Linked DNA regions of Danio rerio. The main gene of each other region encodes a partner of the protein of the gene in region 5 in a complex. Links are inferred from orthologs where the notes say so. Each region holds a gene or a part of one and is shown on either strand. Other genes may lie near its edges.

Region 1 (4,230 bases), on a different chromosome or scaffold from region 5:
TTGAAAGCTACATTGTTAGCTAGTTAGCCTGTCCTCATATAACTTCTTACATTACTTTTGTTTAAGTATTTATTGGATATTGCATACTGCCATAATGTACAGATGCTAACAGTTGCATGTATCTTTCTGGCAACTAAGCCAAAATTAAATTCCTTCATCTCAGTAAGGTAACTTGTGCACATCGTCACAGGAAATCACAAAAACATGATACACATAGCCATCCACACACAAAAGCTCCACTGTCCGGTCCCAGGTTGTGAGTTTGTTGCTAAGTATTTTTCAGAGCAGTGTTTCCACCTATGAATTTATATTAGAAACAATAATAAAGTTTGTTGTCATGAGATAATTATAACAATAAAAGATTGGATCCTTTGGTTTTTCGGTGTTGCAAACTTTATTTGTTATAATCACTTTAAACTTTTTATTGAGATTTAACACAGTTTTTAATTATTTAAAACTTTAAACTTTAAAATAATTATGTTGTGTTTTTTGCTGTTCATTTGCTGATCTACCTTCCTGCAGATTTTAGTTGCTATTCATTTCAAACACACCTAAACCAATTAATTAGGACCTGAACACCACATGATAATTACAGGCAGGTGTGTTTGATATGGGTAGCAACTGAAATCTGCAGGAAGGTAGATATCCAGGAACAGGATTGAGCACCACTGCTGTATACCATGGGGGTCAAACTCCAAGTTCCTGGAGAACTGCATCGCAGCAGAGTTTAGTACCCACCCTGCTTCAACATTACCTGTAGATTTCTAACAAGCCTTAATTAGTTTGATCAGGTGTGTTTAATTAGAGTTACAGCTTAAAGTCCCGGTCACACTGCACTTTTCTCCCTATAGACTTCCATTCATACGCATGTGAGTACTGCAGACCTGGAATGATAGCTCATGCGACAAATTTCATAATTCGCAGCATTGGAAAGTTCAAGCTTGGAGAACGCTGACATGCGAAATCACATCATGTGATTGCTTGATACCAATCAAAGATCAAAACATGACCTCTCTGGCTTGCTTTTTCAATCTCTAATTATTTTGTTTAATTCCACTACTCGCTTTGTTTAATTCCACTTCGCAGTGCCGTATGACAGAATTTTGCTTGCTCAAATGTTAGTGTGACTGCAGCCTTACTGTGCAGACCTGTAATATGCAAGACAATATTTATATCTGCTGATTTCTTAATTTTGTTATACTTTTTCTGTTATTTATTTGTTTCGTGCCAAAACAATAAAATATATTTGTCTGAAAAATTTTATGCCTTCTATTTTTAAATAACAGCTAAGAATACTGATTAATTTTAGTAACACTACAATAACTATATATGACAAACTATTAATGTGTATGCAGTATAATGCTGTGATTTGTAACACTACAATACAGTAATTAACTGTACACAGTTTCCAGTTAGTTACCACTGCTGCTCTATTACAGTAATTAACTGGCAACACTGTTGCCAGCTACTCCCTGTATCGGTTCAGTTACAGTAAATAACTGGCAACACTGTTGCCAGCCACTCACTGTAATGGTTCAGTTGCAGTAATTAACTGGCAACACTGTTGCCAGTTACTTACTGTAACCAAACTTTTACAGTGAGTGGCTGGCAACAGTGTTGCCAGTGTTCTACTGTAAAAAACCCCGGTAAGGTCTAACAGTGTATCAGATCGTTGCAGGTGCATATTAATACCTAAAAAGTACAAATGTGTTCCTTATAGTACCATAAAGATACAAAAGTGAACCATAAAGACACATCGTTTTGGTCAAGCTTTTAATTAACAGTATTAGTGTTTCTGTACTTGGATTTTTAACTTGTTTTTAATATGTTTTGATTTATTGTCATGTGTTATTTTACCTTATTTCTGGTTTTCTCTTATTGTAAAGAACTTTGTGACAATGTCTGTAAAAAGTGCTATATAAATAAAACTTTATTTACTTACTGTACGGTGCAAACGCGTAGTTTTGAGTACGTATACCACCACAGTGACAGATTTTGCACCTTTATTTCTGACCGTGTAATAAAACTGCTTTGTTCCTCTTTTTAAAGGTTGTTAAAAGTGTCTGATAATAATAGTTTGTCGGTAAATGATTAACATTATATAATTTTACAGATTAGCAAAACATTAAATAAAACTATTTATTGTATAGTCGACTAAATATACATGCTTATATTTTAATAAGGAATGCAATCTTTATAGGGATAGCTCATCCAAAATAAATTTATTTGCTCTATTTGCTCTCCTTCAAATGGTTCCAAACAACTGAGTTTCTTCTGCTGAACACAAAAGAAGATACTTTGAAGAATGCTGAAATCCTGTAACCTTTGACTTCCATTGTAGGAAAAAACAAAAAAAAAACTAAGATGCCATGTTTACACGTTTCTTCAGAATATCTACTTAGAAAGAAGAAAGAAACTCAGAAATATTTGGAACAAACAGAGGATGGCAGAATTTTCCCACCAACTTTCCCACCAAGAATGTTACCATAACTAGGGAATTATCCACGTGCTTTCTTTTAGAGTTTATTATGCGTTTTTAAATTGGTCTATAAAATAATAATAAGCCTATAGTTGAAATAAATGAGTAAACTGAACCGCTGATAACAGGAAACTCATGGAAAATAAACTGCAATGCAGCGGACTATTGTGCAGTGAATCACGTATTAATGTGCTTACCTTGCGTCTGCGTCGTGTTCAGAAGAAATAAAGTGACCAAAACGATCAAGAAAGCTTTCCCCATGATTGAGAAACACATTCAGTTCGGTCTCAACTCTTTCTGGTCCGTGTGTTGAACGCAAATGAAGCCCTCGAGTTTCCCCCTCTCTCTGTGTGTGTCGTCAGAATAGCGGTGTCGTTCCATACCGATGACATCTTCTTGTTTTTCCTCTCATGTCCAATGGAACACCGTCAAACTATGACATCATAATTGCTTTGATTATTTTTGTGTTTCTGATAGTTTAAAAGCCAAAGTTACAAATAAGTTTATAGACGACACGGTGGCTGGTTGGCACTGTGGTTGGCACTTTCACCTCACAGCAAGAAGGTTGCTGGGTCGAGTCCCGGCTGGCGTTTCTTTGAGGAGTTTGCATCATGTTCTTTCTGTGTTGGCGTGGGTTTCCTCTGGGTGCTCTGGTTTACCCCACAGACCAACCACATATAGGTGAATTGAATAAGCTAAATTGTCTTGTAGTGTATGTGTGTGTGATTGCCAGATGGATGTTTCCCAGTACTGAGTTGCAGTTGAAAGGGCATCTGCAGCATAATATGATGGAAGAGTTGGTGGTTCATTCCGCTGTGGCGACCCCTGATAAATAAAGGGACTAAGCTGGAGGAAAATGAATGAAAACTTTTTTTATAGTTCATGGTTCATAGTTGATAGTCTACTAAACTATTCTTGTTTTGTTTGTTTATATTATTTGTTTGTTAAGAATTCAGTTCATTTTATTTATGTATTCTATATTGCAGCTACTACACTAGTCGATTTATGTATTATTTTTTAAATCATCAATGTATTTAATTTGCATTCTAATTGAGAGTAGAATTGCAGTATTAATTAACTGCTATGACATTAGTTACATAATAATGCTACTTTTCTAACCTAACGAGTAAAGAAACATGTTGTTCCAAAAAAAGAAGCAATAATTTTTGAGTAGATTTTGTATTATTATTTTTTAAGTAATGTGAACTAATCTTTAATTTAACGAATTAGCTTTAAAAATAAAATTGCTGAGTTTAAATTAACCAAGTCAAAAAAATGAAATTCATTACTAAATTATTACCTAAATTTTGATGTGTTTTTAATGGTAAATGAAGGTGTGTGTGTGTGTGTATATATATATATATATATATATATATATATATATATATATATATATATATATATATATATATATATATAGCATAGATGCCATCATGAAGAAAGAACATTATGTAGAAATACTGAAGCAACATCTCAAGACATCAGCCATGAAATTAAAACCTGGCCACAAATGGGTCTTCCAAACAGACCATCACAGCATACTGCCAAATTTGTTAAAATGTGCTTTAAGGACAACAAAGTTAATGTTTTGGAGTGGCCATCACAAAGCCCTGAGCTCAATCCTATAGAAAATTTGTGGGCAGAGTTGAAAAAGCTTGTGTGAGCAAGACAGCTAACAAATCTGACTCAGTTACACCAATTCTGTCAGAAATGGCCCCAAATTCCTTCAAACTATTGTGAAAAGCTTGTGG
Region 2 (4,061 bases), on a different chromosome or scaffold from region 5:
CTTTTACCAGGCTAGCTACGGGCCTGCAACCTGTGAAAGAATGCAGGTCTGCTGTGACATGCAGTCCAGATGTAATAAACACGACGTGCTCGAACACGACACAAAAGAAAACTGAAACTGTGTTTAACTGTAAACAAGGCTATTGTTTCCAAAAAGAAAAAAAAGAAAAAAATTGAATAATTCCTCAAGATCTCTACGGAGCGCAATTAAACTACAGTATATTAAACTAAAATAAACTATAGGCTAGATGGTGTGCTTTTACATTTATTTTATTTATTTATTTATTTTTACAGATTTTAAATATAGCATAATATCTCAACAATGAAGACGTTCATGTTGCAGGTGTGCAACAATGTCACCATCTAGTGCTCATCATCTACAGCTACATTATGTTTTAGTTTTTTTTCCCACGAATGGCATCAAGTATTGAAAACTTTAATATTTACAAAAGCTAGCCACTTTTCAATAAAATCACGACGACAATCACATAAATACAGCATTTAAAGAATATGTAACCTACAAATGTTTTCTTTATCAATTAAGATGGAAGCCTTCATTTAAAAACAAAAATATAGGTTTAATTGTAGAATTGTAAAATTTAAATATATAAATAGTTCAAATCATTTATAGGCTAGCATATCAGTTGATTATTACGTGAAATACAAGTTTTGACAACTATGTAACGTAGTATTTTGTAATGTTATGAAAACATTTTTTAATTATTGCTATCATTAAGTGAAAAACAAAACATTTAAATGAATATTTTGATAGAACAAAATGTCATTATTTTTCCCTTCTCTTTTTAAAAAGGGAACTAGACAAATGTGCTTGTTGGAAAAAGTAGTACTTCTTTTGACAAGCATCCACATTTTTCCATAGATCTTTCGTTTCCTCCCCTGATCCTATCTCCTCCTGTTTGCTACAGAGGTGGTTTTGAGCTGAACATTTGAGTGTTCTACTGCGTTTCATTGTTTAATAAATTCCTTAATACAGAAATACAGGCTAATTATTAATTAAATCAATTAAACATCAATTACTCATCTCTAGTCCACAAACGTATTAATAATGTTGACCGTTTATTGTACCATTGGACAATCTGTCTCCATATGAATGAGAGAAGGAAAAATGCAAACATTGTAGCAGATGCTCACATCTGTTTTATGTCCTCGTACTTATAGAGGAAAAGCCAAAAGACAACTCGTTGATTGGTATAAACCCAAAAGGAGGCGTGACTAGAATGCATACCCGACAGAAAAAGTATATTAGAGGTAAATAGAGTGGAGTGAACAGCTACTTTTACACTCAGAAAATCTTTTCATTTCACGTCGCTAGGGAAGTGCTTTAAATCATTTCAACAATACTTAAACGACCAGTATGGAATTTGTTGTCAGTTCTCGAGTGCCTTTTCTGTATCTCCTCTTCATCTTTCTTCACGTCTCTTCAGCTGTAGATGCAAACATCTCGATCATCGTTCCAAGTAAGTCTTATCTTAACTTTGTGGTAAAAATCTTTGATAGTCTACTTGTCACGATAACGTTGTAAAACAAAGGTTATATGAGTAAGTATAGCAAATTTGGAAAGAAAGGTGGGGGTGGCAGAGTTGTAACATGCACAGACAGGACATGACATTCATTGTAACACATATTGATTCTATCTTACCACTGCTAAGCAAAGCACAGAAGTGAAAAACAGTGACAAAAAGTGACACCATTTAGTCACCCAAATGTTATTTCAAATCTGACTTTAATTTTCCAGAATAATTGCTTTAAATTAGTTTTGTTTGAGTGATCCTGCATTGTGGTTGAATAAGAAATATATCTAAAAAAATTTTAATAATAATAGATATCTCATTTCCTCACTGATCCTATCTCTTCCTGTTTGCTACAGAGATGAGGTTAAGAGTTAGATATTTGACAAAAAATAAAATAAATAAAATAATAATAATAATATACATATACATACATACACACACACACACACACACACACACACACACACACACACACACACACACACACACACACACACACATATATATATGTAATCCCCCCCCCCCCCCCTTCAATTTATTTATTTATTTTATTTCAGGAGAGTCTTATTTGTTTATTTCGACTAGAATAAAAGCATTTTTTAATTTAAAAAAAAAATATTTTATGGACAAAATTATTAGCCCCTTTAAGCAATATTGTTTTCCTATTGTCAACAGAACAAATCATCATTGTACAATGACTTGCCTAATTACCCAGATTAACCTAGTTAAGCCTTTAAATTGCACTTTAAGCTGAATACTAGTGTCTTGACAATTATCTAGTAAAATATTATGTACATGGTCATCACAGCAAAGATAAAACAAATCAGTTTTTAGAAACTAGTTATTAAAACTATTATGTTTATAAATTTGATGAAAATAAATATTCTTTCCGTTAAACAGAAATTGGAGAAAAATCTACAGGGGGCTAATAATTCTGACTTCAACTGTATATATACACAGTAGTCAACATATGTAGTAAATCAAGAAGGATAATCAAAGTTGTCCTAAGACGATATACAGTATTGTTCAAAATTCATGCCCAATATGTAGTTCTGTTTTTAATCAACATTGTTATCTACAGAATTTCATACTTCATCACTTTTGATCGCACACAGACAAGATTGTTTGTCACAAGATGTAAAATTGCTTGTCACATTTCATGAATACGAGTTTGCAGCTTCCCAATGGTTCTGTTAAGGTCAGAATCCTGTAGTCTAACTAAATTTGGCATTATATTCGCGTTCTGACCTTAAGCAAAGCTTTCAGAACCTTGAATAATGATCTCTTCCCCATTACAGACACATGTGACAGGTCAGTTGTTACCTAATGATAAATGATTATGTCTGGTGTTGACAAAAAACCAATTAACAATGACATTTCTTATTATGATGTGGATATTAATTCATTTGAATTATTTTTACAATTGATATTGTCTGCAATGTGTACAATACTGTAAAGTTTTTTTTTCTCTCTCTCTGTTGTAATAATATTTAGGTTTAATTGTTCGTAAATTTGTTTCGATAGCAAGGGATGTTATGAAAAAAAAATACAACCCTGAGTGTACAAAGTGTTTTTTAATTGACTAGTAACAGACTGACATTTTTTGCATGAATTTTGAAAGAAGCACATTTTTGGTTTTATGAAAACTTTGATTAAAATTTTAATTCACATCAAATGTTGACTATGCCAAATTGTTATTTTAATACTTATACAGCTTATTATTGGTGTGGTGTCTTTAAAAGAACAAATTTGCATCTTATTTTACTCATAAAAGTAAAAGTTCAGTACAGCGTTTTATGTGGTTGATAAAGTAGAAAGTTGTTTTAAAATCACTTTTATTGTACTGTATTGTCCGACATAAGCTTATACTGTTATTAGGATTTTAACATAGTTATTTCAAGATTTCTGTCCTGTTATTGATCTTTTATAAAGAGTTTTAAATATTTGAAGAAATATGTAACCTTATGTAACAGACAAATAAATCTACAAATCTGACTCAGTTACACCAATTCTGTCAGGAGAAATGAGTCAAAATTCCTCCAAACTATAGTGAGAAACTTGTGGAAGGATACCCAAAACATTTGACCAAAGTTATACAGTTTCAAAGCAAAGCTAAAAAATACCAAGGAAATGTGTGTAAACTTTTGACTGTCTAGAAATTAATAAAAATTCCCAAAAAAAAAGTTCTCTCATTATCCTGGCATTTAGCAAATGTAGATAATTTAGGTAATCCTAATAATTTAGGTTATTAGGATTTTAACATAGTTATTTCAAGATTTCTGTTCTGTTATTGATCTTTTATAAAGAGTTTTAAATATTTGAAGAAATATGTAACCTTATGTAACAGACAAATAAACAGTGACATACTGAAAGTGAAAACTCTACAAATAGTAATAATAAATGTTTACAAAGTGATGTCTTATACTTTCAAAATCGTGATCACTATATACACACACACACACACACACACACACACACACACACACACACACATATATATATATATATATATATATATATATATATATAT
Region 3 (3,714 bases), on a different chromosome or scaffold from region 5:
CAGTTAAGATCGCTGTTATTTTTTTTTTTAAGAAATCAGATAACGTAAACACTGCAATTTTGTTTGGGATGACAATTAACCAGAAGCTCTAGGGGTGGCTGACTGAAATGAAAAGTCTGTGTGCATGTACTGTACCCCATTCCCATGAGACTGTTTGTACAACAAAACATAAAAGATTGTAAAGTTGTGTTTGCCAGAAATTTTGTTTTACTCTCAGTTAATTGGTAAAATCAAAAGAAAAGTCGTGTTGAATTGTTCTTGCAGGTTCTGATGTTATCATGCAACCCTCTATATAAGATTCCTTTGAATAAGTGCAGGCAACTCCACCCATCGAGTTATCCTAAATAAAATGAAAGAAAAACCCTGTTACAGACAGAATGTTCTTGGAAATCTGTTGCATCATGGCTTGACAAGGTCTCTCATCCTGGCCAGCTTAAAAGTTTTCAAGACCCTTCCAAAAATCCAGACATATCCAACCAGCCATATAGTCAAGGTTTAGACTGTTCATGCCATCAGCTTTATGTACTGGCTGTTCACACTGCTTTTCAAAGTCTCCAGATTACTTGACCTTGTGCTGGAGGTGAACTGTGCGCTCCTTTCAATACCAGGGACCCCCTGACATCTGAGAAAAGCAAGAACTTGTTTTTGGCACTGAGAAGAACCAAAATAATAGATGAGGGGGTCCAGACAGCAGCTGATGCTCCCCATACACATGGAGACCAGGTAAGCGGCATAGGACGCGTCATTGTGCTTGTAAGCAAACCTCACATAATGTGACAGTAAGATGATGTTTGTTGGTGTAAAGCATATGACAAAAACTGCAAAAACTGTTACGGCCATAATAACAGCCCGCGTTTTCTTCGCGCGGTTTTCCACGTTTGCCGCGCACAAGGCTTGGATGATGCGCAGGTAGCAGACGGTGCTAAAAATGAGCGGGATGAAGAAGAAAAGCGAACAGAAGATTGGAAAGAAGTACAGGTAATACTCGCGGAGAAGCTGGATGTCAAGGACGTCGTGGCAGGTGGTTATGCCCAGGTCAGGTAGGTGAATGGTCTGATTGGAAATGAGCAAAGGTGTCACTCCGCCAACAGACAGAAGCCACATGGCGGCGCAGGTGACAGTCGCGGTTTGGGGACTTCGCCAAGTGAGCGAGTCCATCGGGTAGACGACAGCCAGAAAGCGATCCACACTAATGCACATAATCAGCAGCACAGAACAGTACATGTTGCAGTAAAAAGCAGCAGTGACAACACGGCACATCCCGGCTCCGTATATCCAGTTGTTTCCGTTGTAGTTGTAGGCTATCCTAAAAGGAAGCAGCAGAACAAACAGAAGGTCTGCGCAGGCTAGATTCATCATGTAAATCGCCGCCGGTTTCTTGGGTCTGACTTTGCGCGCGAACATGACCAGCGCCAGCAGGTTGAGAGGCGCGCTGATGATGAACACTATTATGTATATAGTCGGGATGACAGCGGTCGCCACGCGGCCTGTGAGGAAGCTCGAGGCCTCTTGAGAGATGTGATAAGTCTTTTTAGCCGGGGGGTGGAGGTGCTCTTTCCTGAGTGTTGGTTCTTGACCCGAACTAAAGCCGCTTCCCCCCTCCTGCACGTCCAGATAATCAAACGGCTCATCAGTGACGGTGAGGAAAAATCCCGAAAATGAGCGAATAAATGTTTCTGAAAAAAAAAAAGAAAAAACGTGTTTACATTCATTTTTTGCAGCATTTAATCATTGTAACATTAAAAGTTATTTTAACTTAATTCATGCATCAAATAATTTTATACTTTTTTGTTAGGCTATTTTCTTTCTGTTCATGTTTTATTATATCTCTTTGTCATGTTAGCTAGAATTCCTGTTGCAGAGAAAAAAAAAATTAATTTGCTGAATTCCATAGCCTATTTATTTCCATGTTTAGAATTTACAATTAGCAGCGTTTTAGCTATTCATTAAAACAATTATTATTTTGTTTTTATTATATTGTTTTTATATATGTAATTATTATATTGTTAATATAGTAGTACAAGCATTGCTATTCATTTATCTTTTTAAACGTAGCCTATATCTAATACCAATATTTCATACCAAAATAGGCTACTTCACTTTTCAAGTTAAACTTTAAGGGATTTCGTTATTATTGCATTACGTTTTATGCGATTCATCGTGTATGCTACATGCCACTGTGTTCTACAGGCCTATTTTAATGAACTGAGCTCACATATTTTATTCTGATAAAAGAAAGTCTGTAAGCGTCTTACCGTTGTTCGGCAGCGCAGACGCAGAGCCGTTCAGAGCCAGCAGACCCGTCACCAACAGAACCCGCAACATCACGACTCAAACACCGCAGCGCAAATTGATGAAGAGAGGGTGAGAACAGAAAACTCCTTTCCAGAATGATCTTGAACCCGCGCTCAACAGCAGACACCAAGAACTACTAGAGGTGGAGAATTCTGTTTTTCTGTGGCGCAAATGTTGACGCCTACTCGAGCAACACACATGTGAAACCCAGCAACACAGCAGGGACTAGTTCATGCTTGATATCAGAAGAACATTTATAGTTTTAATGGTGGGGTTTTTCACTGTATACTGTGTTTTAATCAATATAAAAAGTGTCTAATATTTTTTTCTTACTAGATTTTATTTGAATTCCACAATGATAAGTTTATTTTTATTTGCACCTTAGAAATATTTTACTACTATTACTATTATTGTTATTATTTTAACACATTTATTAGCCTTTTTGCTTTTTAGCATTTATAAAATTTTTGTTTGGGTAATAGAAGTTATACTACTAGTACTATTTAACAGGGTACAAACATGTTTATTTAAGATATTGTTTGTAAAAAACAGAAAACCCAAAGGTGTCATAAAGTTATTCTTATGAAGTAACTATGTTTGGTGAAACAGAGTTTCTAGTATTTGCCCTTTAGGAGCACCAATGATTTGTTTTGTTTATTATTATTGTTTAACAGTGTAGACTTTCATTCATCTGTTAATTCCCTGAATGCAAATCTGAGGCAAATCAAATTCACTCATCTCTCAAAGCCAAAGCGTTTGTTCAGTATGGAGTTTGCATGCTTGCAAATTGTATTATCGGAAGAAAGTGAGTGTATGGACAAAAATACATTGAAATGTATTTTAAATTAAAATACCAAATAGCTTAATTTCCCATGTATCAAAATAAACTACAAAATACAGCAGCTACAACAAATATCAAAATAAAATACTGTATTTTGAAATTCTTCCTACTACAAAATACTTTCACATGGGAGTAAAACAGTTCCTTGCAAACGTGCTATCAATAGGCATATGCGATCAATCCTTTGACCATTAAACTTACATAATAAGGTAAACAGTGAGTATGTTTACATGGACAACAATAATCCGATTTTAATACGATAAAGACAATACTCTGATTAAGAGTCAACCATGTAAACAGATTTTTGATTAATCTGATTAAGGTCATAATCAAACTAAACAGAACTCGAATTGAGACATGTGAAGTATGCCGATTTTAGTGGCATTATTGAAGTGCAGCACAGACATGTAAACACCGCAATCAAACTATTACCATCATGTTGGACTTTTCACAGCGTTTTGCCACAGGATATTCCAGACTGTTTGACACTGCACCTACTGAGTCAGTGAAGGACCACTGACACCTGCAACGCGAAATGCAGAGATTTTTCCTTTTCAATCGGCATGCGGTATCAAATT
Region 4 (4,142 bases), on a different chromosome or scaffold from region 5:
TTTTAATGTAAGTATCTGACAAAAAGATAGTAAAGAAAATTAAGGTTTACAGGTACTGAAAAATAACAAATTTGGTAAACGATAAAATGATTTTGTGGGGTGGCACGGTGGCTCAGTGGTAAGCACTAGTGAGTCCCTGTTAGACCAGCTAGGATTTCTGTGTGGAGTTTGCATGTTTGCATGGGTTTCCTCTGGGTGCTCCAGTTTCCCCAACAGTCCAAACATTTGTGGTATAGCTCAATTGGACAAACTAAATTGGCTATAGTGTGTATAAATTAATGTATGGGTGTTTCCCAGCACTAGGGATTCATGGGTTAGTGTACTCTTGCTGCTGGGTTGCGGCTGGAAAGGCGTCCGCCACATAAAATATATGCCAGAGTAATTGGCAGTTCATTCTACTGTGGCAAGCCCTGATAAAACAGGGACTAAGCCGAAGGATAGTGAGTGAGAAACAAAATTCCAAGTAATTTTCAGAAAAATGGCATGTTGTCCAACTAACCCCATTTTATTTATGAGTAAATAAAAATTAAATAATAAAAATAAATAAAGGTGAAGCGGTGTCACAGTAAGTGCTGTCGCCTCACAGCAAGAAGGTCGCTGGTTCAAGACTCGGCTAAGTCAGTTGGTGTTTCTGTGTGGAGTTTGCATGTTTTCTCTGCATTCGCGTTGGTTTCCTCCAGTTGCTCTGGTTTCCCCCACAGTGCAAAGTCATGTGGTACAGGTGAATTGAGTAAGCTAAATTGTCCGTAGTGTATGAGTGTGAATAAGTGTGTATGGATGTTTCCCAGAGATGGGTTGCATATGCTGGGTAAGGATGCGGTTCATTCCGCTGTGGCGGCACCAGATTAATAAAGGGACTAAGCCAAAAAAAATTTATGAAAAGAATGAAAATAAATAAAGTGAAAAATAAAAATAAATTAATAAAGATACCTGCTGATAATAAATAAGCACAAAGATACACAAACACATAGAGGCAGCACCTTCAACCTTGAGGTGGATGGGCTACAGCAGCAGACAACAACGGGTGCCACTCCTGTCAGCTAAGAACAGGAAACTGAGGCTACAATTCACACAGGTTCACTAAATTGGACAATAGAATATTGGAAATATGTTGCCTGATCTGATGAGTTTCGATTTCTGCTGCAACATTTAGATGGTAAACTCAGGATTTGGCATCAACCACATGAAAACATGGATCCATCCTGCCTTATATCAACGATTCAGGCTGCTGATGGTGGTGTAATGGTGTGACCACAGTGTACCCATCTTCTGATGGTTACTTCCAGCAGTATAACGCGTTGTCATAAAGCGCAAATCATCTCAGTCTGGTTTCTTGAACATGACAAGGAGTTCAAATGGACTCTACAGTCACTAGATCTCATTCCAATAGAGCACCTTTGGGATGTGGTGGAACAGGAGATTCGCATCATGAATGTGCAACTGACAAATCTGCATGATGTTATCATGTCAATATGGAACAAAATCTCTGAGCAATATTTCCAGTATATTTCCATATTTGCAGTACCTTGTTTCCAGTACCTTATTTTCAGAACCTTGTTGAACCTATGCCATGAAGGAATAAGGCAAAAGGGGGTCCAACGTGGGACTAGTAATGTGTACCTAATAAAGTGGCCGGTAAGTGTATACTGTATATATGTGGTGACTTCTGATAAATCAGGGACTGAGCCAAAGGAAAATGAATCAAGGAATGTGTTTGCGCATATGTGTGCAAATATACACATACATATTCATTTGTATAAATATTTGTTTAAGGCTTTAGACAAATGCAATTACCTCTGCCTGATGCTTACACCATATGGCAATTTTTATGACATTCAGGGCTTAAATAATATCATAATTAATGATAAATTGTGCTACCTGGTGATTGTTTTTGTGCTTGTGCTTCTGAATCTTTCAGGTAGACCACTTTGTCTTGAGCTCCTCTGGTGAGGTTGGCGATCTCTTCCAAATCCTGTTCCATATCATCCAGCTTTTTGTCCATATCAGGCTTGTACCTCTGCAAGTAATCAGCGACTCCACATGTTGTTGGACAGTATGTTCCCTGAAAAAGAGAGGAACCAAGTGTCAATCTTACTATCAAAATAAAATCGTACAAAAATCAGCGTCCCTTCAACTCATTTTGTTGATTATAACGTTATATCAATGCATCTACATTTCTAATTCTCATATGATTAGTACAGTAATGGGAGACTGGTAAATACTTATTTTAATTGGTTGACCTGTGCTTGCAAACTAATTATATCGTTACTTATAGTCAGTAGAATGTCTATAGGGAGATCATCACAATAGAAAGTCATAACAGAAATTGAAAAAACAGTAGAAACAGAAGAAAAAAAGTCAAACATATTTGGACCAAGTAGAGGGAGAGCAAAATGTGACATAATTTGTTATTTTTGGGTGAACTATCCCTTTAGGCAGACAGTCTACTAATACTTTAATGGCATTAATAAGTAAGGACATTATTTTGATGGTCCATTTGAATATCCTTTTGATATTAATTAAAGTGTTACAGAGTTTATTAGTTAAAAAAATCCAAAACATAAAGAATTTGTACTTACAAACCCATCATTAGGGTTGCACAAATCATGTGATGGTGAGTAGTCTCCTCTTTGCTTAAAATAAATAAGGGAGAAAAGAAAATGAGTAACAAAGACATTATAATGTTTTATAATAAAATATAATAACTGTCACTCACCGCTGATGTTAATGTGCACAGCAGCACAATGGAAGCAACCACATGCATGATCGAGCCCATGTCGGACCTGTCTGTGTGGTATACCCTTGAGATTGTGAGTTTCTGTTGACTGTTGCAGGATATTTATCCGATCAAGGTCCTCTTTGGAGATGGAGATAACGGTTCACTCTTCAAACAAGAGCTAAAACCACCCCTCTATTACTCACTGTGTGACTCCAAACTAACCGTAAATGATGCATATATACGTTGGTCAACGTGTCCATCATGTTAGTACATAGTGCTAGTGGATCAGGACATTTAAGACATTTAAAATGATTTATTTATTTACAGGTTTGATTTTTTTTTCCATCAAAAACAAAGTTTGGAGATTGTAGAGTAAAGTTGCATTAGAAACCTTTTTTAACAGTTTAACTAATAATTGTGAAAACAAGAATATGTTCTCATAAAATAACATTCATTTTGCTTTCTTTGAAACATACTATTTTATTAACTGTTTTTCACAAAATTTACTTTGAGACTAACTAATCATTGGTTTCCCACTACTGTATCCCTTGATTTTAAAGGATTTAAATCACTGCATGTCAGTATTTGTAAATGTACTTATGCATTGGCCTAAAACACATAAACAATCAAACAAACTGATTATTTGCCTTGACGCAGCAATGAGCCATTGCTACAGAACTTGTGGGTCACTATCCAGTCAGTTTTAAGTTAATGATTTGTCAATTTTTCTTTTCTAGTGTTGGAAGATTAAATGTTCCACAAATACTTTAACAACATGTACCCACACACAGACAAACATACACTTTTGCTGACATACTGACTCACCAGTAAGAACAAAAATGCATTTTTTTTTCAAATGTACTGGTAATGACCAAAGCAAAGTATCAATAGTTAGTAAATAAATAAATAAATAAATAAATAAATAAATAAATAAATAAATAAATAAATAAATAAATTTCCTTCTTTTTCATGGTAATAAGCAAAGCAAATAATATAAAGCTATTAGAGAAAAAAAGAAGCAAAATAAATTAGATTAACATTAAATTTAATTTCAAGATCAAACACGTTAAACATTAAATAGCTAGTTTCTTTCTTTTGTTGGACACAAAGGAATATACACCAAAGAATGTTGGGAAAAATCAGCAAGAAGCAATAAATACATAAATTTAGAATCACTTGAGTGGGAATAAATGAGGAGGAAAAGTAGAATTAAGAGTTCTAAAGTTCTAGAGGTTTTAATAAAGTGCTGTTCGACTTTGTTTGAGTTTTTAAAGACTGAATACTATGACTTTTTAGTCACTTTAAATATTAATATGGTTGCTCAATTGTTTTTAAGGCTACAAACATCAGTACCAAAGCTGATCTGGACTATGAACATGTCTTAACCGAATGAACCACTAGGGGATGTTGCATATCAAAAATC
Region 5 (3,201 bases):
CTTTGCAATGCTCTTGGTGGGCAGACAGACAGGGTGGATCTCACTCGTAAAAACGACAGGCTTCTTCATGTGGAGAAGAGCAATGTCTCGGTTTAGGTTTTCTTTCCAGTTGTATTTAGGGTGGACAATGATTTCATCAATGGCCACAATCTTCTCGATGCCTCTCTCATACCTGATTAAGAGAGAAACAGGAAAATGTTCAGCAGCTCATTCTGTTAACTGAGGGTTATTGTTTACTTTTATTTCAGCTTTTAGAACAAGCAAAAGAAATCCATGAAGGAATTTTTGGAGGGCTCACTTAGTACGAGAGTGTTTTCCAAGGCGGACGATGATGTCATTGATTGTGAAGTTCTTGTTCCACGGCGGGTAGAGAATGCAGTGGGCAGCGGTGAGAATCCATTCATCACTGATCAGACTGGCTCCACACAGCAGCTCCTGAGGGCTACGCTTATACAGCATCACCTGCCTGCAAATCACATCAAACAACCATTGCAAAGAGGCTTTTTATCACTTTCCAGAACATTTACAGTTACTGTTCCTCACTGAAGGAACTCTCTCCAATCACATACAGATTTCTGAAACACAAGCAATGTTAAAAACCTATAATAGCTTGTATTTCTCTATCAAAATGAGAAGCTTTGTATTTGAAGCACTGTGAGTATTGTTTCTTTACAATGAATCACTTGATGTCTCCTCTTTGTAAGTCACTTTTTATAAAATCACCTGCTTAATGTCTAAAGCAGGCATGCTTAACCCTGTTCCTGGGAATCTACCTTCCTGCAGAGTTTAGCTCTAACCCTGATCAAACACACCTGAACTAATTAAGTAGGATCTGAACTTGTTAATTAAAGACAGGTGTGTTTGATCAAGGTTGCAGCTGAACTCTGCAGGAAGGTAGATCTCCAGCAACAGTGTCAAGCACCCCTGGTCTAAAGGTAAGGTAAACATGTGGCATTAGCTGTTGTCATGACTGATGTTGCCAAGAAATCTGAACATTTAAAAAGAGGCCCTGTCATGTTTTTACCATGGAGCGCTAGCCACTTCAGCCTCGTCTCCTCCCACAATTCTGCTTCCAGTATAGGACATCAGAAGCTCCTTCTCATTCTTGTCTGCTTTGTTGATCTTCTCAAACAAGGGGCGCTCTCCACAGTCTGTAGAACAACGCGGGAGCATCATATTAATTATTAGTGGATCGTACAAGAGCTCAGACCTTTAGTGAATGTATTAGATTCTAACCTAGCTCTCCGTTTCCAAAGCTGCGGGGGTTAAAGAAAGCTTTCCTTTGGTCTAGAGTTGTTCTTTCTCGTCCACCACCTTCCTCCACAAACTTGTCCAAAGGAGCATCTGAGAGTGAATGACAAAGGCAGGATTATGTATGCTGTGTGTGCTGTGTGATTTATGAAGTTTTGTTTAAGGATTTGTAAATTTTTTACCATAATATTTTATTCACCCTTATTTCATTTCAAACTGATGATCACTCTGAACATAATATATATATTAATAAAATCTTAGAAATGTTTGCCCTGCTTCATTCACCCCAAACTTTGATACTTAAAAACATTTATAAAGAGATTAAAAAACAAATCCACATGAGTTTAATGCAAGGTTTGGTTAGAAAATCTTTACATTATATATTAACAGAAACTCAACCATACCAGATTGGTTCTTGTGGGACAGAAATCTCTTAGATGTATGGCATAACATTTTAACATTTGGTCTTAGTCTAATCATACTATTTATTTTCACATCACTAGTAGTTTTACTAGCACTTCAGCTACTATGATGATCTTTTCTATTATTTAATAACAATTATTAATAGGCTACTAATGTTTATTTTTTTATTTTTAGGTACCTTGTTCTTATGGTTATTAATTGCAACTTCTTATTATAAGATACTGGCATTTATTCACCGGGTACTACCAATTAAACAGATACTAGTGATTCATTTGACACTAATATCAATTCATTGCATTTTATTACTTCAGTTTCAATAGTGACAACTAGATATTTGCTGGTGAATTTTTTATAGGCTATTTATGAGTTATTATTTAATACAGTTGTGACTAGTACATATTTGTTATATACACTCACCGGCCACTTTACAACTGTCCAACTGCTCATTAATGCAAATTTCTAATCAGCCAATCACATGGCAGCAACTCAATGCATTATGGCATGGAGACATGGTCAAGACGATCTGCTGCAGTTAAAACCGAGCATCAAAATGACTTTGAACATGGCATGGTTGTTGTTGCCAAACGGGCTGATCTGAGTATTTCAGAAACTGCTGATCTACTGGGATTTTCATGCACAACCATCTCTAGGGTTTACAGAGAAAGGTAAAAAAAAATATCCAGTGAGCGACAGTTCTGTGGGCGCAAATGCCTTGTTGAAGCCAGAGGTCAGAGGAGAATGGCCAGAAGAGCTGACAGAAAGACAACAGTAACTCAAATAACTACTTGTTACAACCGAGGTAAGCATAAGAGCATCTCTGAATGCACAACACATCTAACCTTGAGCCAGATGGGATACAACAGCAGAACACTACACCGAGTGCCACTCCTGTCAGCTAAGAACAGGAAACTGAGGCTACAATTAGCACAAGCTAACCAAAATTGGACAATAGAAGATTGGAAAAAATGTTGCCTGGTCTGATTAGCCTCGATTTCTGCTGCAACATTCGGATGGTAGGGTCAGAATTTGGTATCAACAATATGAAAGCATGGATCCATCCTGCCTTGTATCAATGGGTTAGGCTGGTGGTGGTGGTGGAGGTGTAATGATGTGGGGAATAAATTCTTCTCATGCTCTGGGCCCATTAGTACCAATGGAGCAAAGCCACAGCCTACCAGGGTATTGTTGCTGACCATGTCCATCCCTTTATGACCACTGTGTGGCCATCTTCTAATGGCTACTTCCAGCAGGATGACACGGCATGTCATAAAACGTGAATCATCTCCGACTGGTTTCTTGAACATGACAATGATTTCAAGATAAAAAAGATACTAGCTTCTAAAATAGATATAGAAAATAAATACTAGTATGTTGTAAAGATTAAATGTAAAGTCTGCTTGCCCTATCAGATATGATTAAAAAATATTCAACTTCTAAAAAAAAAAATTAAATTCCTTCCTTTAGTGTTCTAAAGAAAGGAATTGAGAAATGATAATGGTATTTTAAGGGAATCTTCATTCTGGGGTG

The links.
Region 1: the proteins of f2 (region 5) and proteinase-activated receptor 3 are in contact, whole or in part, in a crystal structure (PDB 2PUX), measured with the Mus musculus proteins. The link is inferred for Danio rerio from reciprocal best matches to the Homo sapiens genes F2 and F2RL2. Residues at the interface, in NP_034298.1 of Mus musculus: Phe379, Gln384, Glu385, Leu386, Leu420, Arg422, Arg428, Thr429, Arg430, Tyr431, Arg433, Lys437, Ile438, Ser439, Met440, Lys467, Pro470; in NP_034300.3 of Mus musculus: Thr46, Phe47, Glu48, Glu49, Phe50, Pro51, Asp54, Ile55, Glu56.
Region 2: the proteins of f2 (region 5) and si:ch211-132p1.2 are in contact, whole or in part, in a crystal structure (PDB 2PV9), measured with the Mus musculus proteins. The link is inferred for Danio rerio from reciprocal best matches to the Homo sapiens genes F2 and F2RL3. Residues at the interface, in NP_034298.1 of Mus musculus: Glu385, Leu386, Leu387, Cys388, His403, Tyr407, Trp410, Asp411, Arg428, Arg453, Glu454, Asn455, Leu456, Trp501, Gly502, Asn503, Trp508, Thr510, Gln516, Arg538, Ile539, Asp559, Ala560, Cys561, Glu562, Gly563, Asp564, Val585, Ser586, Trp587; in NP_032001.2 of Mus musculus: Asp54, Lys55, Pro56, Asn57, Pro58, Arg59, Gly60, Tyr61, Pro62, Gly63, Lys64, Cys66, Asn68, Asp69, Ser70.
Region 3: the proteins of f2 (region 5) and f2r are in contact, whole or in part, in a crystal structure (PDB 3LU9), measured with the Homo sapiens proteins. The link is inferred for Danio rerio from reciprocal best matches to the Homo sapiens genes F2 and F2R. Residues at the interface, in NP_000497.1 of Homo sapiens: Phe382, Arg383, Pro386, Gln387, Glu388, Leu389, Leu390, Cys391, His406, Cys407, Tyr410, Trp413, Lys415, Leu423, Arg425, Arg431, Thr432, Arg433, Tyr434, Ile441, Met443, Glu457, Asn458, Leu459, Asn506, Thr510, Lys517, Gly518, Gln519, Arg541; in NP_001983.2 of Homo sapiens: Ala33, Thr34, Asn35, Thr37, Leu38, Asp39, Pro40, Arg41, Ser42, Phe43, Leu44, Leu45, Arg46, Asn47, Pro48, Asp50, Lys51, Tyr52, Glu53, Pro54, Phe55, Trp56.
Region 4: the proteins of f2 (region 5) and fgg are in contact, whole or in part, in a crystal structure (PDB 2HWL), measured with the Homo sapiens proteins. The link is inferred for Danio rerio from reciprocal best matches to the Homo sapiens genes F2 and FGG. Residues at the interface, in NP_000497.1 of Homo sapiens: His450, Pro451, Arg452, Arg461, Arg486, Ala489, Ala490, Leu493, Ile530, Val531, Glu532, Arg533, Cys536, Asp546, Asn547, Met548, Phe549, Cys550, His605, Phe607, Arg608, Leu609, Lys610, Lys611, Trp612, Lys615; in NP_068656.2 of Homo sapiens: Pro439, Ala440, Glu441, Thr442, Glu443, Tyr444, Asp445, Ser446, Leu447, Tyr448.

Annotation. Positions count from the first base shown.
Region 1 is NC_133196.1:7,110,721-7,114,950, forward strand, and holds the start of proteinase-activated receptor 3, read right to left. Parts: upstream 2,801-4,230; 5' UTR 2,756-2,800; coding exon 2,677-2,755; intron 1-2,676. UniProt on the Homo sapiens protein: Receptor for activated thrombin coupled to G proteins that stimulate phosphoinositide hydrolysis.
Region 2 is NC_133189.1:41,481,904-41,485,964, forward strand, and holds the start of si:ch211-132p1.2 (proteinase-activated receptor 4), read left to right. Parts: upstream 1-1,256; 5' UTR 1,257-1,374; coding exon 1,375-1,477; intron 1,478-4,061. UniProt on the Homo sapiens protein: Receptor for activated thrombin or trypsin coupled to G proteins that stimulate phosphoinositide hydrolysis. May play a role in platelets activation.
Region 3 is NC_133180.1:47,155,564-47,159,277, reverse strand, and holds f2r (proteinase-activated receptor 1 precursor), read right to left. Parts: upstream 2,326-3,714; coding exon 2,256-2,325; intron 1,677-2,255; coding exon 505-1,676; downstream 1-504. UniProt on the Homo sapiens protein: High affinity receptor that binds the activated thrombin, leading to calcium release from intracellular stores.
Region 4 is NC_133176.1:27,275,067-27,279,208, forward strand, and holds the start of fgg (fibrinogen gamma chain precursor), read right to left. Parts: upstream 2,813-4,142; 5' UTR 2,777-2,812; coding exon 2,717-2,776; intron 2,634-2,716; coding exon 2,580-2,633; intron 2,063-2,579; coding exon 1,879-2,062; intron 16-1,878; coding exon 1-15. UniProt on the Homo sapiens protein: Together with fibrinogen alpha (FGA) and fibrinogen beta (FGB), polymerizes to form an insoluble fibrin matrix. Has a major function in hemostasis as one of the primary components of blood clots.
Region 5 is NC_133182.1:38,969,750-38,972,950, reverse strand, and holds part of f2 (prothrombin), read right to left. Parts: intron 1,345-3,201; coding exon 1,237-1,344; intron 1,152-1,236; coding exon 1,025-1,151; intron 467-1,024; coding exon 299-466; intron 173-298; coding exon 1-172. UniProt on the Homo sapiens protein: Thrombin, which cleaves bonds after Arg and Lys, converts fibrinogen to fibrin and activates factors V, VII, VIII, XIII, and, in complex with thrombomodulin, protein C. Functions in blood homeostasis, inflammation and wound healing.